7 linked regions of the Canis lupus familiaris genome follow. The protein of the gene in region 7 interacts with the protein of the main gene of each other region in a pairwise test. Links are inferred from orthologs where the notes say so. Each region holds a gene or a part of one and is shown on either strand. Other genes may lie near its edges.

Region 1 (4,384 bases), on a different chromosome or scaffold from region 7:
ACTGAGCCACCCGAGCTGCCCACACTTTCTAATTATTATTCTTTCATTGACACATTGCTTCTTCTTTGTTGATTATACTTAAATCTATTATCTACTTGGAAATTTCATAAACATTCAAATTCTGTATTCCCAGGCCAAAATTCATTGAGTTGGCAAAATAAATTCTCCCCCAAAAAAAGGAAAAGAAGAGAAGAAAAAAAGTATTAGGAAAGATTTAACTTCTATGCTCACGGAAAGGGCAATTTATTTTATTTTCAAGATTTTATTTATTTTAGAAAAAGTGTGTGTGAGCATGTGAGCGAGTACAGAGGGGAGGCGCAGAAGGGAAGGGAAAGGATCTCAGGCCGACTCCTGGCTGAGTGCGGAACCCCACCCGGGGCTCGATCTCACGACCCTGAGATCATGACCTGAGCGGAAATCAAGAGTTGGACGCTTAACTGATCGTACCCCCCCCCCCAGGCTCCCCTGGAAAGGGCAATTTAATAAGACATTCATAAAGTACATTTACAAGGAACACAGGAGTCCTCGTCCATTCAAAGCTTTCCTGAGCGTTCGCTCCGATCTCCACACAGGAGGGATGAAGAAGCTAAGCAGGCTCCGCAGGTACCGGGGCAGCCCAGTGTGGTGCGTGCTGGACTGCAGTGGGGTCAGTGGATTAGTCTTGGGGAGAGGAAGGGGCTGGGGTAAGAGCAGCCCAGAGGAGGTTTCGCAAAGCACAGGCTCAAGTGAAAAGTTCACTACAAGATTCCTTGTAAATCGGCTCTCCGGGAAATAAGTAAACTGAGGAACTAAAATCAGAGAGAACAGCCACGACAGGGGAAACCAGGTAGGCGGAGCCGGCCGGGCAACAGCGACGAGGTCCTGGAGTCAATGCTGGAGGGAGAACCAGGGGCTCAGGGTCCTACAGGCCTCACTTACATACCGGTTTGGCGGCTCAGTTTATGAAGTTCGCTAAGTCCCCTCACTCCTCGGTTAACTCTTCATCCAGAAAAACAAATGTGTACCGTGGTGTTTGCTTGACAATGAAGCCACACAAAAAGGATTTTTTTTAAGAACTAAGGAAATTAGGGGCCCCGGCGGCTCCGTGGTTGGGGCGTGACCCGGCGGCCGGGCCCAGTGGGGGGGGGGGGAGCCCGCTTCTCCCTCGGGGTCTCTCCTGAGCACATACATAAATGAAGCCTTAAAGAAAAGAACTACGGCAACTAGGAACCAAGTCTGAGCGTGACCTCCACTCCCACCTCTAGACTAGGGCGGGAAGTTGTCCAGGACGTGTCTTAGGATCTATCCTGCGGCCCGGGGAGCCCGGGGTGCCGGGGAGCGCGCAGCCCAGGCCCTTCTCGCGGCGCCGGCGCGGGGCGCACGGTCACCCGGACCCCAGGGCCGCCGGCTCCGCCCGGGACACGCCTAATCCCTCGGGGCTGCCAGCGCCCGGGCGGGGTAAAAACACGAGGCAGCTTCCCTGGCCCGGGCTGACCCGCCGCCCCCGACCCCCCCCCCCCCCGGCGCAGGTGCAGCTCCCCCGGCGGGCGCGGGGCGGGGCGCGGGGGGCCCGCAGGGAGCCCGGCCACTCTGTCCTCAGCCCGGCCGCCCGCGGAGGGGCACGACCCGCCCGGGGCCGCCGGCTCCGGCTCCGGCTCCGGCTCCCAGCTGCGCCTTACGGCCCGCGGAGCCCGCTCCCCGCCCCGAGGCCCTGGGCGCTCCGGCTCCACCACCAGGGCCCGACGTCCCGCCCGCCAACTCCGTGCCCACGACGCCACCGCGGCCGCTCCCGCTCCCCTCGGCCCGCAACCCGCCGCCCGGCCCCTGGTCCCCCAGCGCCCCGGTTCCTAACCCCTGGTCCCTTGGTCCCCCGGTCCCTAAACCCCCAGCCCCCCGGTCCCCAACCCCCCTTGTCCCACAACGCCCCCCCAGACCCCCGGTCCCTAAACCCCTGGTTCCCCAGCTCCCCGGTCCCTACACCCCTAGTCCCCCAGTCCCTACCTCCCTGGTCCCTACACCCCCGGTCCCTAACCCCCTGGTCCCCCAGCCCCCCTAGTCCCTAACTCCCTGGTCCCCCGGTCCCCAAACCTCCAGTTCCCTGGTCCCCAACTCCCTGGTCCTCCCGTCCCCCCCCCCCGTCCCTAACCCCCCAGCCCCCTGGTCCCTACCCCCCTGGTCCCCCCGCCCCCAACTCCCTGGTCTTCCGGCTCCCAGGTCCCTAACCCCCAGCTCCCTGGTCCCCCGCCCCCCGGTCCCTAACCCCCCAGCCCCCTGGTCCCTAGTCTCCCTGGTCCCTGGTCCCCAGCTCCCTGGTCCCTACCCCCCTGGTCCCCCGCCCCCTGCTCCCTGGTCCCCCGCCCCCCCGGTCCCTAACCCCCAGCCCCCTGGTCCCCCCGTCCCCCAGCCCCCTGGTCCCTAGTCCCCCAGGTCCCTAACCCCCAGCCCCCTGGTCCCTAGTCTCCCTGGTCCCTGGTCCCCAGCTCCCTGGTCCCCCGCCCCCCGGTCCCTGACCCCCAGCCCCCGGTCTCCCCCGGTCTCCCCCGGCCCCCCGGCGCGGCCCCTGCGGACGGACGGCGGCCTCTCGGGCGGGGCGGCGGCGCGGGCGGGGGTCCGTCCGTCCCGGGGCCCGCGGGGAGCGGCCGGGAGCGCCCCGTGTCCCGCAGACCCCAACATGGCGTCGGCCGCCGCCCGCGACGACGACACCTCCCCGCGCCGCAGACGGCCGGGACCGCGGGGGAAGCGCCGGAAAGTTTCGCTTCTCCCCGGGCCGGCCGGGCTCCCGCGCACACGCACCTCGGGCTTCGCCTGCCCGGCCGGGCGGCGGCGGCGGCGGCGGCGGCGGCGGCGGCGGGGGTCCGGCTCCTCCTGGCCCCGGGCTCCGGGGCGGACTCTGCCCCCCGCCTCCCGGGGCGTGTGCGGCGGCGGCGGCGGCGGCGGAGGAGGCGGAGGAGGAGGCGGAGGAGGAGGCCCGCAGCCGGCGCGATCCGGACCCTGCGGGCGGGCGCTCGCTCGCTCCCTCGCAGGTGACTCCCCCGCCCCGCGGGTCGAGCCCCACAACGGCCGCCCGCCGGCCTCTCCCCTGCGCGTGCACCGGCGCCGCCGCCCACACGCCCCGAGCCCCGGGCACGAGCGCCTCCGCCGGGCCCGCGCCCCGCCCCCCGCCCCTTGCGCCCCGCGCCGCCGCCCCGCCCGCCCGGTGGGCGTGGCCCAGCCGAGACCCCGCCCCGCCGCCAGGGTGGGCGTGGCCGAGGCCCGCCCCACAGCCCGGGTGGGCGTGGCCGAAGCCGAGGCCCCGCCCCCGCCCCACCGCCGCCAGAGAGGGCGTGGCCGAGGCTGAGGCCCCCGCCGCCCGTGCCGCCGCCCCGCCCCGCTGCCAGGGTGGGCGTGGCCGAGGCTGGAGCCCCGCCCCCCCGCCGCCCCGTCCCGCGGCGAGCTCCAGGGGGCGGGGCCTCGGGCTCGGCCACGCCCACCCCGGCGGCCGGGCTGCTCCGAGACCCGGGGGCGTCCTGGGCGCGGCGGGCCTCGGGGAGGGGCTGCGCGTCTCCTGACCCGGTTCCTCGGAGGCGTCTCCCCGCCACGGAACGGGCGTCCCCGCGGACCTCGGGAACTTCCCGCGGGCGGGAGAGAAAGGCTCCTGGATGTACGTGCCCGGAGGCGCGCGGCCCGCGCTGCCCGCCGCCCCAGGGCCTCGCTCGCGCGCCCCGGGCCGGGCCTCCTTGACCCAGGGCGCCTCCCCCGCACTCGGGCCCGCGCCGCCCGCCGCACCCTCAAGGGCCGCCTGCCCGCCCGCCCGCCTGCCCGCCGCTGCGCTCCTGCGGGGCTTCCCCGACGCCCACAGCCTCACCCACCCACGCCGCGTACCTGCGAGCACTCCCAGGGCCCCGGAGGCCACAGGCCCTGGCTCCGGGACACCCGCACACCCCGCAACCCCGCACACCCTGGACACCGCGCACACCCCGGACACTCCGCACACCCCGCACACCCCGCACACCCCAGACACCGCGCAACCGTGCACACCCTGCAACCCCGCACACCCTGCACACCCCGCAACCCCGGACACCCCAGACACCCCGCACACCTCGCACACCCCGCACACCCTGGACACCGCGCACACCCCGGACACCCTGCACATCCCGAACACCCCGCACACCCTGGACACCGCGCACACCCTGGACACCCTGCACATCCCGCACACCGCGCAACCCTGCACACCCTGCAACCCCGCACACCCTGCACACCCCGCAACCCCGGACACCCGCACACCCCGCACACCCTGGACACCGCGCACACCCTGGACACCCTGCACATCCCGCACACCCCGGACACCCCGCACACCGCGCAACCCTGCACACCCTGCAACCCCGCACACCCTGCACACCCCGCAACCCCGGACACCCCGGACACC
Region 2 (3,814 bases), on a different chromosome or scaffold from region 7:
ATCCTGATCCCTTCAGAAGGGCAGGGCCTGTGTAGCTTCAGGGGCAGCCACCCAGGGTACAGCCCCTCAGGTGGACATGATGCCGCTTTTCTCGCCCTTGACCTTGAGGAACTCGGCCATGCTGGAGAAATACTTCTGGTTGGCTTCAGCCACCTTCTTCTCAGCTGCTTGTGGGTTCACAATCTCTAGGCCCTGGGCAGGTGAATGAGGTAATGATGGGGTGGGGAGATGGGCTGGCCCCTGACAAGGCCCCCTTACCCAGTAAGAGAATTGTGACATGTCGGGGAGGCCCTTTTCAATGGTTCCGGGCTCCAGGTGATAGAACAGTTTTCCAATTACCAAATTGCCCCCACCCCAAACCTGGGGAGATTCTAACTGTGGCTCTGGGAAGAGGGAAGAGTGGGGAGGACCTGGGCATCTGAATTTTTATCAAGTTCTCTAAGCAATTTTAAAAGCATCAATGTTGGGCAGCCCAGGTGGCTCAGCAGTTTAGCGCCGCCTTCAGCCCAGGGCCTGATGATCCTGGAGACCCGGGATGGGGTCCCACATCAGGCCTCCTGCATGGAGCCTGCTTCTCCCTCTGCCTGTGTCTCTGTCTCTCTCTCTCTGTATGTCTCTCATGAATAAATAAATAAATAAAAATCTTAAAAAAAAAAAATCAATGTTTCAGAACAGCTGACCGGGTTTGGTTCCTGAATAAGGAAACTGAGTCACAGAGCTAAGTGGCTCACCTCTGGCCCTCGTGCAAATTACACCAAGCCTACTGGTGACACGGCGTCCAGCTGTGGGGGCTCCACACTGGCTGGCACCATTCCCAGTATCTTCCACAGGTAATTCTGACCTTCTTGCTGAGGCCTCCCTGGGCGGGTCCAACCCGATGCCTCACTCCCTCTCCCCTTTCTTCCCTGCACTTTCCACTTTCCACCAGGCTCCATATCTTATCTGACCCCTGCCACCCCACAAGCTCCCTGAGGGCAAGGCTTGCTGTCTTGTGCTTGTGGCTCTATCCCCAGTGCCTGCAACAGCACCTGAAACTTAGGTGCTCAGTACACCCTTGCTGATGTTGCCAATGAACTCAGTTATTCTACTCGATGCTATGGGGCGTGCTGGCGCTATCTGTGGGTAGGCTGAGAAATGGACAGATGCAGAGGCTCTGTCCTGTGCATGAGTGGCTGGGCTGGGACCTCTGCTTCCCAGCCAGCTACCTTTGAGTTTTCTTCCGTGGAGCCCTGAGGTTGTCCCAGCCACTTAGCACCTCAGGGAGGAGCTGAGCCCACTTGAGGTCATGGGGAATCAGTAGTCACCCCTAGTCCCAGCCCGATCCTAAAGCCAGCCTGCACTTGCAGGCAGACCTTTTCCCTTCTGCTCCCACTAGCCTGAGCACCAGGAACTGAGCTGTACCTTTCAGGGGCTTCACTGATACACAAGGCTGTCCACAACAGCCCTGCGAGAGGAAGGGGCTTGCCCAGGTCCACTCAGAAAGCTGGGAGTAGAGCCTGCCCAGAACTGGGCCTCCTGACTCAGGTGCACAGTACCTGCAAAGGGGTGAAAGCCACACTGGAAGCAGTCCCCGAGGAGCGGTCACGGATGGTGGACTTCCCGCCATACACGACACTCTGCTTCTGCAGGGTCCGCTGTGTGGAGGGGAGGGGACAGGATGTTTGGGCTTGGCTTGGGCTCTCCTGCTGGAGCTCCCAGACTCCCAGGCCCACTCAGGCCCCGCCTGTACCTGCAGTGTCTTAGAGATCCTGGCTTTGGTGGCCTCGTTCACCTGTGTCTGCCGTACCCGCCCGCTGCCTGATTTGCCCAGATGGCCCAGGCTGAAGCCCAGGTCCTCTTGGTAGGCGTCTTCCTCGATCTGGTGGGAGGGGAAGGTAACCAAGAGTTAGCCATCTTTCATCAGCCGGATGCCCCAGGCACTGACCCGATTCAGGTGCCTGCTGGGGCCCAGTGAGGAGTCCAGTCCTATTACGGCTCCCTGAGCTGACAGTTGAGGGAAGCTGTGAGTGTTCATGTATGCAGTGTCAACAACCAAAACTGGGCTTGCTGACTAGAGGGTGTTTGAGCTGGTTCTTGCAGGACCATGAGGATGATGCTTGGGTAATGAGTCTGGCAGAGGTGAAGCCTGAGGAAGGACCCTCCCTGGGCAGATCCAACCCGACAGGGAGGTGTGTACAAAAGGGTGGGGGTCGGGGGACAGGGCCAACACTGAATGCTGCATAGGTCCCTTCAGGGTACATGGATGTGGGGGGAGGCTGGAGGTGAGGTGCTGCCTCAGCCGAGAAGAAATGTGGTGGGGACATCCAGACTAAGGCTTTGACCTCTCCGAAGCTCATGCGGTTGGCCTGCTTCCGGATCTCGGTCAGCCCTAGCCGCTCCTTCATCTTGCGGTACCTGGGGAGGGGCGCCAGGGGTCAGCTGGGGTCACAAGCCCCTTCCCCTCCTCTTCACCCCCACTGGCCCTCAGGGCCTACCTGCGGCCACCTCGCTTCTTGCGCTGCCCGTCCAGGGGTGCAGGCAGGGGCTTCACCTGCTTCACGGGCGGCGGCTCCTGCCATTTGTCAAACTTGCGCTCGATTTCATCCTTCAGCTCATATCCCACCTGGGGAGGGCAGGGGGTCCCATTGAGCCTTGCCCATCCCTCTACCTGTGTGTGGCACCTGTTCCCAGGCCTGGGGGGCCTGTGTTTCTTGGGAGACTCAGACTTCTCCCAGCACCCCTCATATAATTCTGTCCTTGATGGGGGAGAAGGAGGGCAGCCCCCGAGTGCAACAGGGCCAAACCGCACACCTGCACCTCTTCCCCAGCCTCCAGCTCCGGCCTGCACAAGTTGGTAAAGGGAGGTCACTTGGGAGCCTCACCTCTGGCTTCTCTCCCTCTGGGCTTTTCCTTCAGTTAAGACCCCAAATCGCACCCCTCAGCATCTCTGCTACAGCCAAGGTCTCTCTGGGGCACACAGGCTCTGCGTGACCTGTCCCATCCCACAGCCTCCTCTCCCTGGCTTCCTGTGGGCCAGGCTCAGGGCCATTGCACTGGCTGCTTCTCCTTCCTAGGACTCTTCCCCCAGGCACTCACTTGACTTGCTTCACTTCACCAACTTGCTTCACTTGCACCAACTTCACTTGGGTGCAGATTAGACCTTCACCTTTGCAGCAAAGCCCTCCCCAACGTCCGGGTTAAACTCAACCTCCCTCACCAGCCCAGCACCCTTTGATCCCACCCTAGCATTTATGTGGCATCCCTGGACACACCACAGATGGCCCGTGTCCTCACCCCGCCCCCAGCCAGAACATGAATGCCACAGGGGCATGGCTTTGGTCGGAGTGCTCACTGCTGTCCCCACTGGAACCTCAACCAGTGGTCAAGAGGAAAAGTGGGGGGCAGTGAGAGAAAGAGACTGAAGCCTGGACACTGTGCCAGACTGCACAAGACAAGATATACCCACTTTCATGGAGCAAGTCTGCCAAGAGAGATAGAGGTAAACTCAGTGATGACCTGAACAATGACAAGTCTGGTAGAGGAGACAGACCCACACAGATGCCTGCTGTGCCTCACCTTCCCTTCTGTGCTCTCGTGGAAGCTGTCCACACGGGCTGCCAGTGTGCACTTGGCAGCCACCAGCCGAGCCGCTTTCCGCCGGAGATCCTGAGGCAGCAGAAAGGGGGCAGAGTCAATGGGAGGATTCATCCGCCAACACCAAGCATTTACCAGACACCAAGCGTTTCCCAAACCCCAGCTGCCACTGGCTCACTTCCCATGGGTCAGCGGTTCACCATCTCACTATGTGTTACCGTAATAACGTGTCATGGCAACA
Region 3 (4,284 bases), on a different chromosome or scaffold from region 7:
CCGGTAAGATGTGGGAGGCTCTTGGCCTTGTGAGGAATCCTACAATCTTAAGGGAAGACGTCCACCCCCTCCAGCACCCCAGAGCAATGTTCCCATCAGGGTCACCGCTGCTTGCATCCCAACAGGGGGCTGGCTCTCCCACTTACTATGCTGGGCATTGGGAAGCAGATCAGGGAAACACAGGCCCACCTTGCAGACAGACCCTCACATGCCTTGTTTTCCAAGCTCTTCGAGGGGCCAAATGGGTGAAGAGCCATAGGTTCCTTCACATACCTACTTTCCCCAGAGGAAATGCCCCACAGGGTTACCCCAGGGACCAGGAGAAAGCACATAAAAAGCTCACACTACCTGGTGCCACACTGGGTGTCCCCATCGCCATTCCAATGAACGTCAAGACTGGCTCTTCCTGGAGAGCTAGCCCTGCACACCAATTGCAGCAAGGATTCCTCTGGTCAGATTGCCAGCCTTTGAGCCCAGCACTGGCTAAGAATTTCTGCATCTCTTTAAAACTCCTTTAACAGTCCATTCCAAGAAAAACCCAAAGACCTTTTCTTTGCAGTTCCAGGATTGAGTTTACAGAACTTGAGTTCAAAGTGGAATTTAACCTTGTATGCCCAGGTGGGGCCTTACCTGGGTACTCAAGACTAGTCAGTGTTATGGCTTATGAGGCCACAGCCTCACCCCCAGAGTCTCCTGTGGAGGCCCTGAGCCCAACAGGATTGAGCCAACTCCACTTGACTTGGTCACCATCACCAGGGTAGAGATTAAGACAAGAAACCAGGTACACACGAGCTCAAGTACTTTCACTACAAAATAATTTATTACAACACAGCTTCAGCGCAAGCCTATGTACAAGCACACATTCCTGACACCCCCAACTAGGGGACCCTTTTCTTCTCCCTGGCCTTTCTGACCTCCTCTATCAAATCTTTCAGATACTGGATCTCCTTAGCTAAAGAATCTGCCCTCTCCTTCAGAGCCTCGTTCTTCTTTTCCAGTTCTTTACACTCACCAGTGAGGGCTTCCTGCTCTGCCCTCTTCTTCTGGCGGTACCTAGTGGCTGCTGTCTTGTTCTGCTCCATTTTTTTCAGTTTCTTATCTAGTTTCTCAACCTTTACTTTTGCGGTCTTCTCTCCAGGAGGGTCATAGGGTTTGGGGCGGGCAGAACCACAGAGGGAACCTGGAGACAGCAGGCTCCTATTTGGAGAGCCCCTGGAGGTAGAGGGGCTATGCTGGGGGGACCCAAGATAGGACTCAGGACTCATACAGATGCCACTGTCATTATCTGAGGGGGCATCTTCCTCCTTTATGCACTGAGGGATCACGGTAATGTAAGCAGTAGAATCTGACTTTCTATCTCCTTCAGAGATATCCACTTCACTGCCTAGCTCTAAACTAAAAGAATGATCTGGAGTGGAGGACAGGGCCCCTGGGGAGAGTGGAAGTGGTTGCAGAAAGGTAAAGGGGGCAATCTGGTCTGTTTTTGGTAAACTTTCTGGGAGATGGCCAATTGGGTTCACGATCTGAGGGGGCTCCTTATTAGTCTCCTGGACTAGGGGGTCAAAGAGATCACACGTGTCATCCAACGTGGCCAAAAGCTCATCTGGCATGGTTTCCAGGTCATCTATACTGAACAGAGTGTCAAAATCAAACTCCTTCAGATCCATTTTCTCCACCATCCAATCTGTCCCGGAGAAGGCATCCTCTGCAAAAGAGTCAAGAAGGAACCCGAGAGGTCAGACGCACACTTCAGCAACAGCCCGGAGACCAGACCCGGCGGCCAACGACCCCCACTCACCCTTGCCGTTGTCTGAGGCACTGACCAACCCATCCAAAGCCAGCCATTCGGAGGAGCCCGCCTTAGCCTTGTCGCTGGAGAACCCATGAGGTTTGAAGTGCTTGGCCACCTCCAGGTAGTCGTCTAAGAGACCTAGGCTTTCCTCAGCCCCCAAACCCGACTGGTCGAAGGGGGACATCAAGTCCCCCACCAACACCTCGCTGCTCAGGAAACTCATCTCGGCCATGTCGCGGGACTTTACTGGAATCGAGGAATGTGCTTAATTCGAAGGTGTCTTTGTCGGTTACAGCAACGCTGCTGCTGGATGCCGTGAAAAGCCTGAAACGGAAGCAGAAACCGAAACCCCTTCGACATCGGCCGGTCCGGGAAGCTCATCCCTTCCTCCCGGGGGCAGGACGGCCAGACTGGAACTCCACTCGGGAGCAGAGGCTCGGGGACACGTGGCCCCGGGGCCATGGCTTCCACCTTCCCCGCGGCCCCGTCGGGCCGCCCAAGATGGACGCCCTCGGGGCCGGGCCGCTCCTCCCCCCGCCGCCGGAGGAGGCGCGCCCGGCTCATGTCCAAATACGGCCCAGGCCGCCCGGCCCCGCCCACGGCCGCCCGTGACTCACGCTGCGCCGCCGCCGCCCTGCCCGGCCGCCATCTTGGCCCCTGCCACGTTTCGCGGGGGGCCGGGCGGGAAGCCGTCGGGGGCCGCGGCCGGGGCCGGGGCCGCCGAGGGCTCGCTTCTCCCCGCCGGGCCGCACTCTCCTGACCCAGAAGCGTCGGCGTCTCGAGGACACCCAAACAGGGGCCACGCGTCCCGGGCGCTCGTAAAGCCGCTTCCCCCTACGCGGCACCGCCCCGCCCCGCCGCAGGCCGCGCCCAGGCGGGCCGACTGCCCTCGCCGACCCGGGGGAGCACGGCGCGGGCGGCCCCGTACTTACGCCATGGCTTAAGCCGCTGGGGGGTGCCGCTGCAGAGCCTGGTGCTGCTGCCGCCGCTGCAAAGGCCAATGCTGCCGCAGGCACTGCTGCCTCTAATACGCCATGGCGGCCGCGGACCCTGGGGGATTGGAGGAGGGAAGGCGCACGCTTGCCACAGGGATCTACATCTACAGGCGGGAGGAAGGGAAATGGCCGCGCCGCGCCGATCGAGGGTCCTTTATAGACTTTGCCTCTATGAGGACGCATCACACCGCACATCCTTCCGCCGCGGTCACGTGACCCGCGCCTCCCACCCACCCGTCTTCGCGATCCGACGCCCCTATCGTGTCCGACCAGCGACTTTTAGGTCCACGGCGTAGCTGTGAAGAGAAGAGTTGTTACTTCCAACGTCTCGAGAAAGGAAAAAGGCGCGCTACTTTGCAAGGCTACTAAGATCAAAGAGCCTCTCCTCCCTCTGCCGCCGGGAGCGCGGAGGGATTCCTCAGACACACCTCGCTTCCGGCGTCAGCCTGGGGGGCGGGGAGAGAAGTCTTTCACCTCAAGGAAGGTTTTTATTGTGAAGTCAGAGGCCGCCTGGTTATCGCGCGAGATGCTGGCGGAGAGCGAGCGTCGAGCTGATTGGTTAGACATGGTGAGTCATATATATCTCGGTTTCCTATTGGCTCAGACCCCGGGATGGGCGGGCCGCTCCGAGCGGGAGGCCGGGTCCGAGCGGGAAGGGGCGGAGCGGCCAGCGGGGTTCCCGCCGCCGGGCTGTGTCCTCCGTGGCCGCGTCTCGGTGAATCCGCTCTGTAGTGGCTTCTTGAGCCTGGCGTACGCGAGGCTGTCCGAGACGACCCTGGCTCCTCCCCCGGGCTTCTGGAGCCCGAGGAGTCCCAAACGGCGACATCAGGCCCTGGCCCCTGTGGTCCCTTCCTGCCACCCTCCGTCCAGCTCCGAATTAGAGACCCAAGTTCAGGCCCGAGATGAAACTAGGCAAAAGGAAGTGGAATTTCGGGTGCGTTTTCATCACACGCAAGCACCGAAGTAGCTGAAAGGGGAGACTGAGGGCCTCAGTCGGGTTCTAAACGCTCCCCACACACCGTCAGGGGCCAACGCCGCGTCCTTCCCGTGAACTCTCCAGTCCGGTCGGGAAGGTGCACAATCTAGCCCAGTTAGTGACTCTCGCATACCGGCCTGCCAAAACGTTTCTGTTAAAAGTATGCAGTCTATCACAGGGAACTTCTTTTGGTTTATACAGATGCAGTTCCCCTAAGAGATTTTGTTAAACTGGTATCTGTCCCTCTCCCAATTCTGCAACCTGGTGGGGGGAGAATCTTGAGCACCCACGCCCACTCACGGAGGTTTGGAGGTTCGTGTTTGGAAGCGGCGGTCCAGGTCAAGGCCTGCAACTTGCTCTCCACCGGAGAGCTGTGAAGAGTGCCGGGAAAGGTCTCCACTATCCTCCGTCTCCTTCAGGCCCCTGGAGGGCAGAAACCTTGGAGTTTCTGCCTCCGTTTTAGTGGGCCATAGAACTGTAGGAGGGCTGTGAGGTCAAAAATTGGGGGGGGGGGGGGGGGG
Region 4 (4,431 bases), on a different chromosome or scaffold from region 7:
TTCTTTGACCCACTATATTCAAAAGAAAATTTCAACATGTAATCAACAGAACTCTTAGAAATCAGGACCCCTGGGTGGCTCAGCAGTTGGGCACCTGCCTTCAGCCCAGGGCGTGACCCTGGAGTCCCTGGTTCGAGTCCTGCATTGGGCTCCCTGCATGGAGCCTGCTTCTCCCTCTGCCTGTGTCTCTGCCTCTCTCTCTCTCTGTGTCTCTCATGAATAAATAAATAAAATCTTAAAAAGAAAAAAATCTTAGAAATCTGGTGTGTATTTTATTTACATTTATGGCACATTTCAACTCAGACTAGCTGTATTTCAAGCCCTCGGTTGCCACATGTGGTTAGTAGATATAGAACTGGACAATGCATTTCTACGCCTCAGTTTCCTTATTTGTGAAATGAGGATAAAATTGGCTAGGTCATAGGGATGCCTGGGTGGCTCAGGGCATGATCCTGGGGTCCTGGGATCGAGTCCTACATCAGGCTCCCCATATGGAGCCTGCTTCTCCTTCTGCCTATGTCTCTGCCTCTCTCTGTGTTTCTCATGAATAAATAAATAAATAAATAAATAAATAAATAAATAAATAAATAAATAAATAAATAAATAAATAAATAAAATCTTTAAAAAAAATTGGAGAGCACAAGTGAAACTCTCGCTGCTCCGCCCTGCACATAGGGGGCGCCCAACAAATCCTGGCTCCTTTGGGTCTTTCCTCTCACCCTACCGCCCTCCTCCAAGTCTCCGCCCCCTTCCCCCCACGCCCCGCCTCCTTCAGGCTCCGGGCGGAAGCAGTACCGTCGCAAATGCAGCGCGCGTTACGGTGGCGTTGCCTTTTACAGCAGTGTGGCCGGCTTCCGTGGCCCTCTCACTTTTACCTCATTGGCCGTGCGACCCGCTCACCGCGCTTTCCGGCAGTGTGGCCGGAGCCGCAGCGGAGGGGCCCGCGGTTTGGCCGTGAGTGGAGGGAAGCTGAGTAGCAGGTGTTGGCTGGGCCTGGTACCATGGATGTGGGCGAACTTCTGAGCTACCAGGTATGAGGGGCGAGGCAGGCCGGGAGCCATCCCCTCACCCAGGCAGGGCTCTGCGGTCGCGGGACCAGAGCCCCTTCATCTCCCCCCGCGTCGCCTCTGTCCCCGGCCGCGTCCCCCGCGCTCCTGAGGCTCCGGCGTCCGAGCCCCTCGTTTCACTCCACTCCCCTGAGACTTTCCTGGGCCCTTTGGTTCATTCCTTCTCAGAGCGCAGGCTCCTTCGTCTCAGCTGCAGCCTGGGCCTCTTCTTGCCCTACCCTGGGTTGGGGCCTGGTCCCCGTCAACTCTTCCGCAGGCCCCCGGCCACCTTCGCAGCCATCTCGTCGGCTTTCCGGTCCCCCGGGCGTTGTGTTGGTGGCGGCGGTGGGAGGGCACTGGCCTTGCCCGCCTTTGACCCCGGCTTCCCCAGTAATTAGCCATGTGCCCTTCGGACGAGTCATCTCCCCCTCTTTGAGCGTCAGTTTTTGTATCTGTAAGACGGCGACAGTCCTAACCCTCCCGTTGGGTTGTCTGAGGCCTCCGTTGCAAACTACCGGGTGTGAAAGCTGGTTGTAAAGTGTAAGAGCTGTTCCCATGCCATTGTTAGGAGATGCGTGGAATTCTAGCGTGGAATCTTCTCGTCCTCCCTGCTCTGGCTACTTGGCGGGAATCCGCGGCCCAGAGGGCAGAAAGGACTTATCCAGAGTCACTCAACAAGTAAGAGCTGGGATTGGAGCTGAGGTCTCCTGGCTCCCAGTTCAAAGGTTTCCCCCTCCTTGACTTCCTACAGGGGCCCCTCGTGAGAGGCAGTAGAGCCCCGCTGTCCACGTTGTTCAGGTGGCTACTTACCTTTTAGTGTGGCTATTAAAATTGCATATATAACCGGTCTTGTATTTCCATTGGCAGGTCTGCAGTAGAGAATAGGTCGTTAAGAACTAGGGGCCGGGGCTGCTTGTTCCTTGGAGTGTCTCTTTTGCTATTAACTGGCTGCTGTAACCTTGCACAGAATACTTACTTAACTAACTCTTTGTGCCTTGGTTTCCCCATGTGTAATTAGGGGCAAAGATGGTACCTGCCACATAAGTCTGTCATGAAGTTCTTAATGGTCTGCCAATGCTTGTCAAAGAGTAAAAGTTCAGCAAACACTAACAATTATATTCATGTCACTCCCTCAGCCAGTATATGAAGAACAGACCTTGGAGACGTCGTAGAAAAGAACTTATAAGCAACGGGAGATATATAGCCAAGAGATTTATCTCTCTCTCTTTTTTTTTTTTTTTAAGATTTTATTTATTCATGAGAAACACACACACAGAGAGAGAGAGAGAGAGGCATAGACACAGGCAGAGGGAGAAGCAGGCTCCATGCAGGGAGCCCGACATGGGACTCGATCCTGAGTTGCCAGAATCACACCCTGGGCTGAAGGCAGGTGCTAAACCTCTGAGCCCCCGGGGCTGCCCGAGATTTCTCTTTTTAAGACAGTTATTGAACATGAAAGAAGAAAGGAAATAAGGTTGTTGAATGAGTGGTTACATATCTGTTTGGGAGTTGTAGAATGGCAGGCCCACTGACTCAGAATATTGAAGCTAAAAGAGATTCATTCATTTGCTCAAAAAACATTTATTGAACGCCTACTGTTCAAAATCCTCTGAGTATACAATATTGAACAAAACAGACAAGGTTCTTGCTTCTGTGGAGCTTGTAGTCTGGTGAGAAAGTTAGAAGATGATAAGTGTGTAAGTAAATTCAGATTGTGATAGGCTCTTGAAGGCTAAGCAGAGTATACTCTGTAACTGTGCTGTTTTGTGAGATAGCCACTGGCACCTGTGGCTACTTGAAATGTGGCTAGTTGGAATTGAGAGCTATGTGTGGAATTGAGAGCTATGTGTAAAATACACATTGGATTTCCAGGATTTAGTGTGAAATAAATTAATGTAACGTATATTAATAATCTTTATATCAATTCCATGTTGAAATGATATGTGGGGTATATTGGCTTAAAGAAAATATATTATTAAAGTTAATGTTACTTTCTTTTAAACTTTTTTTTAATATGACTACTAGAAAATTTAAAGTTATATGTGGCTGTATATGTGGCTCATTTGTGGCTTTCAGTATATTTTTATTAGATAGTGCTATGATTGAAAATAACCCCTGAGGGACACCTAGGTGGCTCAGTGGTTGAGTGTCTGTCTTTGGCTCAGGGCGTGATCCCGGGGTTCTGGGATTGCGTCCCACATCGGGCTGCCTGTGAGGCACCTTCTTCTCCCTTTGCCTATGCCTCTGTCTCTCTGTCCCTCGTGAATAAATAAATAAAATCTTAAAAAAAAAAATAAAATAACCCCTGGCAGTAGGAGACAGGACCTATTACCTTTGGGTAATATGGTCTGGGAAGGACTCTGAGGAATGGATGCTAAAGGACTGAAGGTTGAGAAGGAGCCAATCATGTAAAAGGGCAGAAGAATCAAGGCAGAGGGAAGAGCACGTATGTAGGCTATGAGGTAGAAGCTGGTACAGCCTTTTAGAAGATCAGTGAGAGGATTGATGGTGCTGGAACATGGTGAGTGAGCAGGAGAATGGTAGATGATGAATAGGAGATGTAAGCAGATGACAGACAATGTAGGTCTTCCTGTAGGCCATGGTAAGGAGTTCAAATTTTATTTGGAGAGATGTTATATAGATAACCTCATGCAGCCCACTTCATTACAGATGAGGAGTGAACCCCATTCTGATAAAGCACTTCTCTGCAGCTGTGGGCTAAGGTACTGGCATAGTTGAAACCAGAATCCTGATCTCCTTATTTTCATCTCTGTTCATTCCCCATATGCACTATTCATGCAATTTCCTTTTCGTAAGATGGATGTCCACTCCTCCTGTTCCTAAAAGATGGTACAGTCTGGAATCTAGTTCATAATCAATCAAATGCACCCATCCTCTTGTGGAAGTAGGTGAAGATCATTTGAATTAATGAACGCAAAAGCTCTTCAAAAACAGTAACATTTTATAGCTATGAAAGATGCATCATTTACTTGTACCATCTCTCAAAATCTTTCTAATAACCCTATGAAGAAGGTACTGTCTCTAATCCTTGTTGTACAGATTAGGGAACTGAGGTACAGAAAAGCACCTGCCTCATAACTGAAGCTCCTAGTGACTGTGCTGTCGTGCCTGCCTACTCTGTGCCAGATGCTGAATAAAGTGCTTTCAGATGGATTCTTATATTTAATTGTCAACATGCTTTGAGGTGAGGGGCATGCCTATTTTATAGAAAAGGACACTTGAGCTAGGGAGGTCAGTTACCTGCCCAAGGACAATAGCCAGGAGCAGAGCCAGAACTGGAACCGAATGATTACCCAACCTGGTTTTCTGTTTTGTTTTAAGATTTTTAAAAACTTAAAAAATTGAAGAATGATACACCTATAGA
Region 5 (4,282 bases), on a different chromosome or scaffold from region 7:
AGTTGTACCGCCTCCGCCGTTCATCTGTCTCCTCCTCAGGCTGCTCCTCCTGGGGGGTTGTGCTCCGGACTCGTGCCAGCAGGGCCTCTGCCCGAGCCCGTTCTGTTGCTTCCCGCCGAAGACGTTCAGCTCGAAGCTGGTCCAGGGATGGGGGTCTGGGGGGAGAACACTCAGGTCAGAAAGCTTATAGCCCCTAGAGGTCCCACTTTCCCCCAAGAAGGAGCTGCCCCACCTGGAACCCCGTCCACCTCTACCTGCTCTGGTCTGAGAGGTTTGTGGGTAGGAAGCTGGCCTCATGCTGTGCAAGGACCCAGGACTGCCATCACTGCCCCTGATGCCCCTCCAAATCATGAGCTATGATGATGAGCACAGCCAGGACCTCAGTTTCTCCTTCTGTAGGAGCTAGGAGACCTGCTCAGGTTTGTCCTCCTTGGGACACAAACCTGCTCTGACTGACCCCGTGGTTCTCAAACTAGACCCCAGAAAGCTTTGTGTCAGTGGGTTTCATCTATTGCTATTTTGCATAGAAGCGAGAAAACCTTGAAACAAGGTTACGTCCCCAGTCACCACAGTGTCTCTTCACGCCCTGTCTCTTTAGAAGCCACTGGACAATCAAGGCTGAGTGAAGGGTCACAGGGGCTCAGGAAAACCAGCTTGCCTCTGCAGACCCCCTGCTAGGGCGTTGGAGCCCCAAAGCCACACGTGGCGAGCCGCCTCCCCAGGCCCCCAGCCCCTCACCCTGACAGCACCAATGCAGCTGCCCACTTCCTTACACTTCAGGCCGCTGCTTCTCAGGCTTCTCCTTCCCCTTCCTGCCATGGCCACCATTGTCCCCACTGTGCCGTCTCTTCCTCCTCAAGTGCTTCTGTATCTCCTGTAGAGGGTCCAGGCGGTTCTTGATCTTTTCATCTGGACCTGGGCTGAGCTGGGGGGCCCCTTGCCGTGGGGGTAGCTGATACCAAGGCAGCTGAGTCTGGGCTTCTGCTGCACTCTGGCCCAGGTAGGTCAGGATGCCCAGAGCTTTCTCCTGCCTCTCCTGAGGGGGACAGAAAGAGGGAACTGAGGATGTCAGCGATGTCTCCACTCAGGGAGCCCTACCTGTGACAACAGAATCCCCCAGGCTCCTGGACAGGTAGAAGCAGCATGAGTCAACTCAGCCATTTTTCCAAGGACAGGTGGGCCTCCTGCACTGGGCAGAGTGTCAATTCAATAACAAAAAACACAAGGGGGAAGGACAGGGTGCAGCTGCTTTAGGGTTCAGAGGCAGCATCTTTGGGGAGATACTTTAAAGATGAACCTGAAAGCCCGCCAGCAAGGCAAAGGAGTGAGGCGAGACAAAGGCAAGTTCAGAGTTTGGTGGGAACCCCTGAAAGTGGGTAAGTGACAGGACCCAGGTTCTGATTTAGATGAAAAAGCTTCCTAATACACCTCCACAGGGTCTTGACATCAGCCCAAGGGGTCTGTACCTGACAGTGCCGTGCACCCACTTCCAAGCCCCTGCAGGGAGGGTGCCAATAACCCACACTGGGAGTGCTGTGTTCCAGTACTGAGTTCTCTGTGTCAGCTCATTTCATCCCCACCCTACCTCTCTGTTCCCATCAGTCACCCCAGACTTTACCCCTGACTGACAGGGACGGGTGTGGGGGGGGCGCGCAGCTTACTTTCTCCTGTCGCTTTTCTTCCTCATACTCTCTATTGCCTCTGGTCGCCCCTTTCCCTTCCTCCAGCAGCTCCCGAAATAGGTCCACAGGGCCAGAACTGGGGGCTCCCGCCTCTGCTGCTTGGAGCTCAGGTAGCGAGTGCTGGTGCCTGGCTTTCTTCCGTAGGAATTCTGTGCGGGCCTGGGGGAAAGAAAGTTACAGGCAGAGCATTCATTGCCTAGCCATGCCTCCAAGAACTGTGAGACCGGTGCCAAGCACAGAGAATCCCCGTGCTGGTGCTGAGGGCTCATCAGAGCATCACCCAGCCTGGGGGAGAGGATGGGAGAATGAGGTGACACCTGGGTTTGTACGCTGCCTTTGGTGAACCAGAAGGGTTTCCCAACCTCAGCTGGCACAATAAAAACAGCTAGGAAGGCAGCCCAAAATTTGCGAGCAGGCGACCAGAAATACAGTAAGGCTCCAGATCACTGTCCCTCGACCACGTGCAATCTGCTGACCAAAGTGAGCTTTAAAAGCCCAGACCACCTCCCGGCCAGCGGTGAGGGCCAGATTCGTTAACAAACTTCAAACTCCGTGCACACTAGAAGCTAGAAGTTACTCCGAGAACCCCCGGGGTTGGGGGCCGCGGGGAGAGGGCTGGCCCCACAGGGGGATGGGTACGTCCCACTTCTCTGCACAGCGGAGGGCAGTGCCCTCTGGGCACGAACAGAGCAGGTCCAGCGCTCTGCTCGGGGCGAGCATACAGCAGACGCTCCAGAGGGGTCGGGCAGGAACACTAAACGTGGGTCTGCGTTTCTTTGAACTGCACAGGATTCATTTTTTCAGCAGCCCCTACTCTAAGCCAGGCACACCCCGGCCTCACGCAAAACGAGTGGCGGAAACCAGGGCAAAGGGGAGGCCCAGGTGGGGAAGCCTCAGGTAGGGCCCGCGCAGGCGAGCCCCTGCGTTTCCAACCGCGCCCAGCTCCTCCAGCCTCACGGGAGGCACTGCGCGTGTGCGCCATCCCGCTTCCGGCCCCTCCCCCACGCGCCTGCGCGCTCGGCCCGGGAGTCGCGTCCGACCGCACTCGGGGCTTACCTCCTGCTGAGCGAGCAGCACCCTCCGCTCACGTTCTTTCTCCTCCTCTCGGGCCTGAGCCTCGTCACGCCGCACGCGGGCGACATTGTCCTTGTTCCGGACGTGCCAACTCTTCTTGGGCAAGATATTCATGGCGTCGTAGCCGTCCACCGACTGCAGGCCCACCTCTGAGCACTTTCTATTGGCGAGAGGATGCCGTTCCCTGTTGTTCCTGCCTCAGCTACGGATTGGCCCTGGGCTGGCTGCCACGCCCCTCCAAGTCCGTAGCGAGCGCTGATTGGCTGAGATGCCGAATTCGGGTTGGTGTAGCCTGGAGACCGCCTCTTCACCAGGTCCTGAGCCAATCACTTGTCCCCGCCCTGAAGCTACGGGACGCGGCCGCTGATTGGCTGGCCTTCTCGAGGCCGATAATCTGATTGGCCGGCTCAGGATGCAAGTTACAAACAAAGCGCTCTGCAGTCTCAGCGGCGTTTATTGGTACGAGAAAGGTTAACGCGAGAGTGAGGGGGTGTCAGGGCCCCGGAAATCTCCGCAGCCGGGGACTTAGGGTCTTCTCAAGTTCTCTTTTACAGATGAGGTGCGGGCTTCCATAGGGTCCGGGGGCAGGATGAAGTGGGCCATGGTCCCGAGCAGGGCTAGGGAGGTCGAAGAGCCCCGGTGGCCGAGCTCAGTGCCACAGCGCGCTGTGCCAGGAAGACCTTATTCTGCGCCTCCTGGGTAGAGGTAAAGGGTAAAGAGAAGTGCAGGTGAGGCCGACCGCTCCCCACCATTTCTTTCAACATCCAGGACCCCCTACCATGAACCCGCTTTGCCTCACCGTCTCTATCTGGCGTTTGAGCTCAGAGACCAGACGTCCATAGGAGTTAGCCAAGGCCAGGGTATATGCCATCAGGATGCTATAGGGACGGAAATGGAAGCCATACCCAGGGGGCTCTTAGCATATCTTCAGTGTAAAGGCTCCTTAGAAACCGGGGATCTGGACTCCCAGCCCCACCCCACCCCCGCCAGACCCCTCCTCCCTCAGACCCGGGAGTCCAGGCTCCTCCAACCTCAGACCCAAGAGTCCAGGCCCCCAGCCCCCTCCCTCCTCAGACCCAGGAGTCCTGGCCCCCAACCCCTCCTTTCTTAGAAACAGGCAGTAGGGGCCCCCAGGGAACACAAACTCAGACCCAGGATTCTGGGCTCCCTCACCTGGAGATTAAGAGAAGAGGCACAGCAAAAGCCTGGGTCCCCAGGAAAAAGAGAAAGTTCTGGACGGTCTGAGGGAGGTTGGAAATAGACTCAGGGATCTGGGCCCAGATAGACGACTGCCCTTGGAATGGACCACACAGCTTAGAAGGTGGGATCCTGAAGAAGTCAGAGACAGTGTTCAAGGATGGCCAAGATTCAGAATCCTGGATGAGGGTGGAAGGAAGGAGGGAAGGAGAAGGGAGAGGCAGGCCCCTGCCACACTTACAGGAAGATGCTGTAAAGCACGGGAACAGCGGAGATGGCCAGAGCCAGGAGAAGGACCAAGGGGAAAAAGAAGTTCGCTGTGGAAGCCC
Region 6 (3,814 bases), on a different chromosome or scaffold from region 7:
GGACCAGCATCTTTTCCCGGCCTGCACGAACTCAACAGGTGGCACCATGAACAGAGTGGAATTAGATGGATCTTTAGGAATCAAAGATCTTTTATTTTTTAAAATCAGTGCTAAATGGGATTGTATTCTTTCTGCACAGTTCACCTGAAAAATTGGGGCCCAGAGTATTCGGCAAGGTGATGATGTCGAAGGAGGCAATGACCCATACAAACTGACATCCCTAAGCTGTCAGAACAACCCAGAGCTGCTGACAGGTGTGTGAAGGGACAATTGGTGGGAGCAGATCTGCAGTGATGACATGTCCCTGTGACATGGGAGAGAAGTGAGGGAGTCACACAGGCCCTTGGTAACATGTTCCTGTTCTGGGGGGAAAGATCCCAACTGTGTCAGAGCAGAAGTAGCTAGTTAGGAGTAAACAAGGTGAGGTCCATGAGCAAAGGCAGAGAGCAGGGCAGATCTGTTATATCTGAAGGACAGAGCAAGGGGTGGGGGGAACTGAGGGCCCACAGAGGAGCCCCAAAGGCAGGACCAAGTAAGTCTTCCTTCCCTCTCCAACCCCACTGCACTCCATGCCATTCTGTACATCAGCTTCCTGGATTTCCCAGGCAGAGCTGAAATGAAATGACCAGGGCAAGTTAAAGAGTCACACAAGATTAGAAAGCTAAAGTGGGGGCAGCCCGGGTGGCTCAGCGGTTTAGCGCCACCTTCAGCGCAGGGCGTGATCCTGGAGACCCAGGACCGAGTCCCATATTGGGTTCCCTGCATGGAGCCTGCTTCTCCCTCTGCCTGTGTCTCTGTCTCTCTCTCCTCTCTGTTTCTCATGACTAAATAAATAAAATCTTAAAAGAAAAAAAAAAAAAGAAAAGAAAGCTAAAGTGGGACAAGTGATGAAACATAAAGTTGCTGTTGGGGATACTGCCCTGGAGTGGGAGTCTAATACTTGTGGGTAGAGGCCTCCTCTCTACCCAATCCCAAGGCTTGAAATGCAGAAAGACAGGATAAATGGAATGGAGTGCAGAGTGGACAGTAAGACCAAGAACAGAGCTATTTGGGAGGAAAACGTGGTTCCTGCTTCCACGTGTGTGAGGCCTCTTCTTTTCCAGCCTTATACCCAGTCCCAGATTCCACATGAGGGGCAATGTATGTCTGAGCCTGGAGGGGGCTGGGGATGGGGGATGCTAAGTGTGTATCTGGCGTCCCTGTGAGATACTCAAGGTCTGGCAGGAAAAAAACAAGCCTGACATCATGACAGTTCTTGTGCTTTTGATGTGACTCCTGTTGGTGGGGAAAGTGTGAGAGGGAGTGGTGATCTCGTCCACTGCTCTAAAGGACAGAGGGAGGGGCGGCAGGGAGTGGAAGGGAATGCCTGGCCTCTCAGTGCTCGGGATGTGGACGCTGTGTCTGAGGAGGGATCCTTAAAGCTGTGTCAGGAAAGGACAACATAAGACGCTAGATGTACATCTAAGTAACTAAGAAAGGATTAGGGAGTTTGAGAACTGAAGCAGTTAGAAATGAAAGTAGGGCCCAAATCTCACCATAAGAGATGCAAGGGGTGAGGTGCCCTACTCCCCAGAGCTGATCTAGCTTCTGAGGGTGAGAAGGTGGTGGTGAGGGGCAGGCTGGGGCATCCCGCGTGTATGTGGAGTGGGTGGCTAAGAGGGTATCTACTCTGATGAAGTAGAAGAGAACTGAAGGGGCAGGAAGGCAGCCAGGCCCAGTTCTCACAGGAAGCTAATGTGCAGGATGATGTGGAGGGTGAAAGCAAGCCAGGGAAGGGGCAAGGAAGATGAACAAAGGCTCCCCCAAAGAATTACGCAGTAGGCAAGGCCCAGGAGTCCCAGGGCTCAGTGGGCGTGGACAAGGCCCCCAGCTCCCAGAGGCAGCCTGAGGATGGGCGAGCAGGAGGGGCTGATCCTGTAGGGAGGGCAGCTGTTGGGGAGGTAATCTTACCTGGCCCTCACATCCCAGCTGCAGGAGTGCACCTGGGGGTGGGGGTGGGGGTGGGGGAGCGGGAGGGGATGGGGTGGCTGCTGGCTGTTTCCCAGAACTGGAGCTAGGGATGACAGCGGCGGGTGGGAACCTCACGGGGCCCTTCAGTGAAAGGTGAAAGCCGTGTGGAGTTAAGGAAGGGCCCCTGAGGGGGGCTGAACAGGTCGAAGCTCACCGTGTAAGCGCGCTCGGATTCAGATTCACCCGTGGAGGCTCGAGTGGAGCCCCCCCCCCCTCCCGCCAGCGCAGTCCTCAGCGGAGCGACGCCCGGGTCTCAGCGTCAGGACCGCACGATCCAGGCTGTGCTGAAGCAAGCTTCCGTCCTCGGGCTTCCGAATCATGTAGTCCCAGCTGTGTCGTGAGGGGCGCCGGGCCGGGCACCCCGCACCGCTCCCTGGACCGACGGCGTCGGCAGCCCCCGGGGACCGGACTCGGGCGAGGCAGCGTCAGGCCCGCGCCCCGGACCCGGGCAGAAGACACCACCCCCCACCCCCCACCCCACGCCCCCCCCGCCACGGCTGGCTCTCCGGCCTACCTGGTCGCCGGTCCCCACGCTGTAGTAGCCGTGCGTCACCACCTCCCAGTGCAGAAAGCAGACGAGCGCGTCCTGTGCGGAGGTGATGGCCGGCGCCACCGACGCGAACAGGACCTCCAAGCCCGCCATGCTCGCCCCCGGTTTCTGCGGGCGAAGGAGAGGAGACGGTGCCGTGAGCCCACTCGGCCCCGCGATTGCCGAGGACGCCCCCCCGAGACTCCGCCCGCCCAGGCCTAGTCTCCACCTGCGGCCAAAATGGAGCCGCCCGGGGGCGGAGCGCGGCCGCCGGAAGTAGCTCCGAGCGCCGGCTCAGCAGCGCGAGCGCGCCGGCTGGAAACCGGAGCGCGGCACTTAAAGGTTCTGCTAGGCATCTCGCGGGCGGGGCGGGGCGGGGCGGGGCGGGGCGGGGGCGTGGTCCTTTAAGGCGGGAGTCTCCCTTTCCCCGGTAGCCGGGAGGGACCGCCCCCCGCAGGATGTTAAGTTAGATCCCCGAGGAGAGGCCACCTGGTTCTGAGCCGCAGACGACCCATCCGCAGAGTGAGGCGGGCATCTGCTGGTGGGGGAAGAGTTGACGAAATATGGGCAACATATATTCGTAATAATAGCCTGCACGTATGCGGTGCTTCCTCCGGGCCGCCTCATTCTAAATGGCTTCCTTGTACTCATTAATTTAATCATCACGACCTGACCCTCTGAAGTTGGAGTTCATGATAGCCTCGTTTTACAGAGGGGTGAATTTCACCGAGATGGCACAGCCAGCCAGCCAGTGCGTGGCAGAGATGGTACTGGAACTTAGCAGTCTAGCTCCCAGGATGACGCTTCTTCAATGTTTATTGTGTGCTGGATCCTGTGCCAAAACCTTTACATCGCCCTGTCCACAGCTCTGTGAGGCGTGTGCCATGATCATCCCCATTCTGAAGATGACAGAACCAGCTCAGAGAATGGAAGTCGCTTCCTCCAAGGAGACACAGCTGCTGCCCACAGAGCTGGAGCTCCTGATCCACTACCAACTTTCAATCATTTTTAATTTCCTGTCTCCATGATTTTCACCACCTACTATTTCTTCAACAAGTTTCTAAAAATATATGCATACAGCGTCCCCCCCCCCCCAAGTTTCTCGATTCCACTTATGGTTTTTGCTCAGATAAATTTAGTTTTCTCATTGCAGTCAGCACACTGTGGGGAGCCACTATCCTCTCTTGTTTGGATGTCTGCACCAGCCTCTGAACCGCCCTAGTCCATCTTTGTCTCCCTAAAGTCTGTTCTGTACTCTGTGAACACACACCAAGT
Region 7 (3,591 bases):
CCGTGGCAGAGGCAGCTTCCACAAAACCCACTACCGAATTTATCTGATTTCACATTTCAAAGAGTTCTTCTCAGCACCCCCACCCCACTCCCTGAATGCCTCGGAGCCCTCCAGGCCCACAAAGAGGTCTCAGCATAGCCCAGATAGCAGTACAAGGTCTAGTTCAGGAGACAGTCAGTCTCCAATTTCCATAGGCAGGAATCTGGGACATATGTATGGGTGGGGATTCTAAGACAGTGCACCCGGGGTGCTGAAATGTTAAGATCACGCTCTATTTAGTATGGGTTCACTCACACAGGATCCAGGGCTTAATGTCAGTTCAAGCACCTGAAAGGGGCATTAAAACAATATGCTACGTAGTTAACTGAAGTCTGAACTCAACAGCGCCCCGCGGGCAACAAGACTTAAGGGACAGAATTTCTCTGGCAGTGTTGAGTAAGGAATCCAAAGGCTCAAGAAGATAATAACATTGTATGTGTCCAGATTTATGCCTGTTGTCCTAGTCTAATTATTAACAGTGTCCCCCTTTAACTCTCAAGTGTCCCAGTTTGGGATGGTGTGCCACCTGCTCAGCCACCCCTTACCCATGCCACCCTGGAGGCCCCAGAGGACACTCACTCCTTTTGCCAGGGCTTTAAGAAATGCCTTGGTGAGGAGAGTACCAGAATTCCTAGAAAACCCTGTGGTAGTTGTCCTCTGTAGCCTAGAGATGACAGTGGCGAATACTGGGACTGAACTAAGTTCCCTGACCTCAGGGGGCATAACGGGAGTCAGAGTGAGATTGGAAGAGGCCAATGATAGCACTTAACCATTAAAAGACACTCCTTTCTTTATTTTTGTAGTGCTTGATATTTATTGAAAAGAACGTAAATGCTTTTTTCCAGGTGGTATTGAGGAGCTGGGCTGAGTGCCTGTTTTTGTTTGTTTGTTTTGTTTTTAGTATTTCTGTCCAAATGCACACATCTGTTGGGACTGCTGCAGTTTGGAAAGAAAAAGGACAGCTGTGCAAAACTGGTGCATAGGAGAAAAGAAATGTCAACAATTTGGCTGCCAGGCGCACTAGGCCCCTGCAGCAATCTGGTGGGGAAGGGGAGGACCCTGGGAGTAGGCAGGGAACTAACCAGGTTGAAAGACTGGCCCCTTCAGGGGCTGGTGAGCTGTCCAAATCAATGTCCAAGGACATAGAGCCAACTCAGGCATCTTCTAGGTTGGTCCTTATTTTCAAAGGCTGTGTTCTGTCGCTGGAATGTGGTGGACGGTGGTGAAGTGGCAGCGTAGGTCTCTGGGCAGATGGAGGCCTTGCAGTCGGCAGGGCAGGGCTGTGCGTGGTCTGACCAGTTTGTAACAGGGGCCTGCCCTATAGCTGGGGCTCAGGACACAGTCCAAATCAGCAGGGGAGGGCCCCGGGGCTGGCCAGAGTGGGTGGCGGCGCGCTTCCGAGCGAGGCCCCAGCAGCAGGTAACCGGAACAAAGGCAAGCACTACAGGGGGATGACGGAGAGAACCGGAGAGCTGGGGGTAGGGAAGGGGATGGGAGGGCGGAAGGGCGCTGGGCGGCTCCGGGCCGGGCAGGAGAGGCGGGGGAGAGGATGGCGGCGTGCAGGGCCCTCCCCCCTGGGCCCGAGGGTCTCCCGGCCTAGTAATCATCTTCCTCGTCGTCGTCGTCGTCGTCTTCTTCGTCGTCATCCCAGCCAAAACACTGTTTCATCTCATCGAGGAAGGCCCGGTAATCACCTAGGATGGGGCTATCCATCTCAATGTAGGGCACCACCCACTCCTCGGCTTCCCCGGTGAGCAGGCTGATTAGGAATGCCACCTTCATGGCGTCGTTGCAGAATCGGTTCTCGTTGACGAGCATGTAAGACGCCGTCTGCACGATAAACTCGGGGAGCCGGGAGCTCTCGCCGCTAAACGTTTCGGGGAAGGGCACCGGGCAGCTCGGCGGACGTACCTGGCGCAGCAGGGTGGCCCTCTCGCACACCAGCAGCCGCAGCTGTTCCATGAGCTGGCTGTTCTCGATGCTCAGGGCGCGGTGCCGCATCAGGAGCGCGTGCAGCAGCAGCACCAGCTCGTCCACCATGGCGAACGGCTTGCAAGCGCAGGGCTGGGCTCGGCTCAGGTGCGCACGGAGGCCTCGCAGGAAGTGCGTGTCCGCCGAGGCGCACGGTGGCCAGGGGCGGAGGGCGGTGCGCGCTGGGGTCCGGCTGCTGCGCAAGCTCCGCCCGCACAGCCACTCGGGCGGCCGGCGCGCCGGCGCGGCCCGGGTCGGGGGGCGTGGTCAGGGCGCTGCCGGCGCCGCGAGGGGGCGGGGCCGGGGCGGGGCCGGCGGGCCGGGGGCGGGGCCGGGGGCTCGGTCCAAGGGAGGGGGCGGGCGGGAGCCGGGGGCCCGCGGCCGGAGTTCCCGAGGCCGGCGCCCGGGAAGGGCAGGCTCCCGCGCTAGAGCCCCGGATGTGCGCCCCGGGACCGCCAAAAGCCAGCTCAGAGAGGGCCAACCTGCTCAACTTTAAAGGATCGGTCACGCTCGGACTCAGCCGACTCACACAGTGCGGGGCTCCTTGGTGGGTCTGTGGCTACGAGATTCCACCTGCGCGTTTCGGTGACACACGTCCTCGCTTATTGAAATCCCACTCACCCAGGGAACTGCTGGCGCTGCGGCCTGCCCCGCGGGAGCCACGCATCCTTTCGGAGTTGCGAAAGACCCTTCCTTGGGGCTCCTCTTTGAAAACAAAACAATATCTAAATGGGGTTTTTTTTTCTTTAGTTGGGAAACAATATTGTATACCTACATCCTTTTTTAAAAAGTATTTTTTTCTAAACAGTCAAGTATAAAAACTTCTGCAAAAGCACCACTGGAGAACGATTTGCAGGCTCTCGCCTCTCTTTGACCCTCTGTTTCATGTCCTGTTAATGCCCCTTGGCCCTCGGTCGCATGTTGTTTGTTGCTTAACAATGAACACTTGTGTTTTTAAATGCTTTGGGCTTTCTACTTTGAACTGGATTATTTAAATCGTTGAGTCCAGGACCCTAGAGCTGAAATTTTGTTGGCTCTGCTTTTAAAATATATCCCCAGATCAGTCACTTCTCCCACTATACCACCCTGATCCAGCCTTCCTTATCCCACCCAGACTGCTGCAACTGCTTAGCTTTCACTCTTCTCTTCCTGCAGTACACACAGGAGTCCCTCCTGATCCACGGTTTTGCTCTCCGGTGCTTTCAGTCACCCGTGCCAAGGGTGGTTTGATCCGGAATCAGCTGACCCTCCTTCTGACCTGGCACCAGAAGATCAACCAGTAGCCTGGCGTCGGATCACTACGCATTCTATCATCTCACGTCATCACAAGAAGGGTGAGTACAGGACAGTAAGATACTTTAAGAGATATTTTGAAACTTGCATAATAGTTATGTGTTACAAACATTCTATTTTATCACATGAGCTAGTAATGTCTTAGTGTGCCTAACTTATTTAAATTGTATCAAGTACGTATAGGAAAAAATATAGTCTATATATAATTCAAGACTATCCTCAGTTTCAGGCATCTGCTGGGGATCTTGGAACAGATTCCCCTGTGGATATGGCCAGGGAACGAGTGAC

What was found.
Region 1: the proteins of LDOC1 (region 7) and PLEKHF2 interact in binary tests that used the Homo sapiens proteins (3 or more experiments, as listed by UniProt). The two-hybrid records come from large-scale screens. The link is inferred for Canis lupus familiaris from reciprocal best matches to the Homo sapiens genes LDOC1 and PLEKHF2.
Region 2: the proteins of LDOC1 (region 7) and PRPF31 interact in binary tests that used the Homo sapiens proteins (3 or more experiments, as listed by UniProt). The two-hybrid records come from large-scale screens. The link is inferred for Canis lupus familiaris from reciprocal best matches to the Homo sapiens genes LDOC1 and PRPF31.
Region 3: the proteins of LDOC1 (region 7) and ATF4 interact in binary tests that used the Homo sapiens proteins (3 or more experiments, as listed by UniProt). The link is inferred for Canis lupus familiaris from reciprocal best matches to the Homo sapiens genes LDOC1 and ATF4.
Region 4: the proteins of LDOC1 (region 7) and CTNNBL1 interact in binary tests that used the Homo sapiens proteins (3 or more experiments, as listed by UniProt). The two-hybrid records come from large-scale screens. The link is inferred for Canis lupus familiaris from reciprocal best matches to the Homo sapiens genes LDOC1 and CTNNBL1.
Region 5: the proteins of LDOC1 (region 7) and LENG1 interact in binary tests that used the Homo sapiens proteins (3 or more experiments, as listed by UniProt). The two-hybrid records come from large-scale screens. The link is inferred for Canis lupus familiaris from reciprocal best matches to the Homo sapiens genes LDOC1 and LENG1.
Region 6: the proteins of LDOC1 (region 7) and PSMF1 interact in binary tests that used the Homo sapiens proteins (3 or more experiments, as listed by UniProt). The two-hybrid records come from large-scale screens. The link is inferred for Canis lupus familiaris from reciprocal best matches to the Homo sapiens genes LDOC1 and PSMF1.

What each region holds. Positions count from the first base shown.
Region 1 is NC_049250.1:40,414,142-40,418,525, forward strand, and holds the start of PLEKHF2 (pleckstrin homology domain-containing family F member 2), read right to left. Parts: upstream 2,855-4,384; 5' UTR 2,773-2,854; intron 1,209-2,772; exon of another isoform or gene 923-1,208; intron 1-922. UniProt on the Homo sapiens protein: May play a role in early endosome fusion upstream of RAB5, hence regulating receptor trafficking and fluid-phase transport. Enhances cellular sensitivity to TNF-induced apoptosis.
Region 2 is NC_049222.1:103,832,153-103,835,966, forward strand, and holds part of PRPF31 (U4/U6 small nuclear ribonucleoprotein Prp31), read right to left. Parts: intron 3,646-3,814; coding exon 3,556-3,645; intron 2,603-3,555; coding exon 2,475-2,602; intron 2,395-2,474; coding exon 2,322-2,394; intron 1,859-2,321; coding exon 1,730-1,858; intron 1,635-1,729; coding exon 1,536-1,634; intron 193-1,535; coding exon 67-192; 3' UTR 1-66. UniProt on the Homo sapiens protein: Involved in pre-mRNA splicing as component of the spliceosome. Required for the assembly of the U4/U5/U6 tri-snRNP complex, one of the building blocks of the spliceosome.
Region 3 is NC_049231.1:26,489,430-26,493,713, forward strand, and holds ATF4 (cyclic AMP-dependent transcription factor ATF-4), read right to left. Parts: upstream 2,939-4,284; 5' UTR 2,725-2,938; intron 2,117-2,724; 5' UTR 2,025-2,116; coding exon 1,799-2,024; intron 1,706-1,798; coding exon 879-1,705; 3' UTR 794-878; downstream 1-793. UniProt on the Homo sapiens protein: Transcription factor that binds the cAMP response element (CRE) (consensus: 5'-GTGACGT[AC][AG]-3') and displays two biological functions, as regulator of metabolic and redox processes under normal cellular conditions, and as master transcription factor during integrated stress response (ISR).
Region 4 is NC_049245.1:26,819,706-26,824,136, forward strand, and holds the start of CTNNBL1 (beta-catenin-like protein 1), read left to right. Parts: upstream 1-1,589; 5' UTR 1,590-1,601; coding exon 1,602-1,724; exon of another isoform or gene 1,725-1,844; intron 1,845-4,431. UniProt on the Homo sapiens protein: Component of the PRP19-CDC5L complex that forms an integral part of the spliceosome and is required for activating pre-mRNA splicing.
Region 5 is NC_049222.1:103,811,612-103,815,893, reverse strand, and holds the start of LENG1 (leukocyte receptor cluster member 1), read right to left. Parts: upstream 2,931-4,282; 5' UTR 2,871-2,930; coding exon 2,739-2,870; intron 1,842-2,738; coding exon 1,662-1,841; intron 1,037-1,661; coding exon 774-1,036; intron 156-773; coding exon 1-155. Other genes in the region: TMC4 (transmembrane channel-like protein 4), read right to left, coding at 3,374-3,451, 3,556-3,634, 3,930-4,085, 4,195-4,282.
Region 6 is NC_049245.1:20,361,508-20,365,321, forward strand, and holds part of PSMF1 (proteasome inhibitor PI31 subunit), read right to left. Parts: intron 2,877-3,814; exon of another isoform or gene 2,769-2,876; intron 2,669-2,768; 5' UTR 2,654-2,668; coding exon 2,525-2,653; intron 96-2,524; exon of another isoform or gene 1-95. UniProt on the Homo sapiens protein: Plays an important role in control of proteasome function. Inhibits the hydrolysis of protein and peptide substrates by the 20S proteasome. Also inhibits the activation of the proteasome by the proteasome regulatory proteins PA700 and PA28.
Region 7 is NC_049260.1:112,048,888-112,052,478, reverse strand, and holds LDOC1 (protein LDOC1), read right to left. Parts: upstream 2,227-3,591; 5' UTR 2,080-2,226; coding exon 1,636-2,079; 3' UTR 812-1,635; downstream 1-811. UniProt on the Homo sapiens protein: May have an important role in the development and/or progression of some cancers.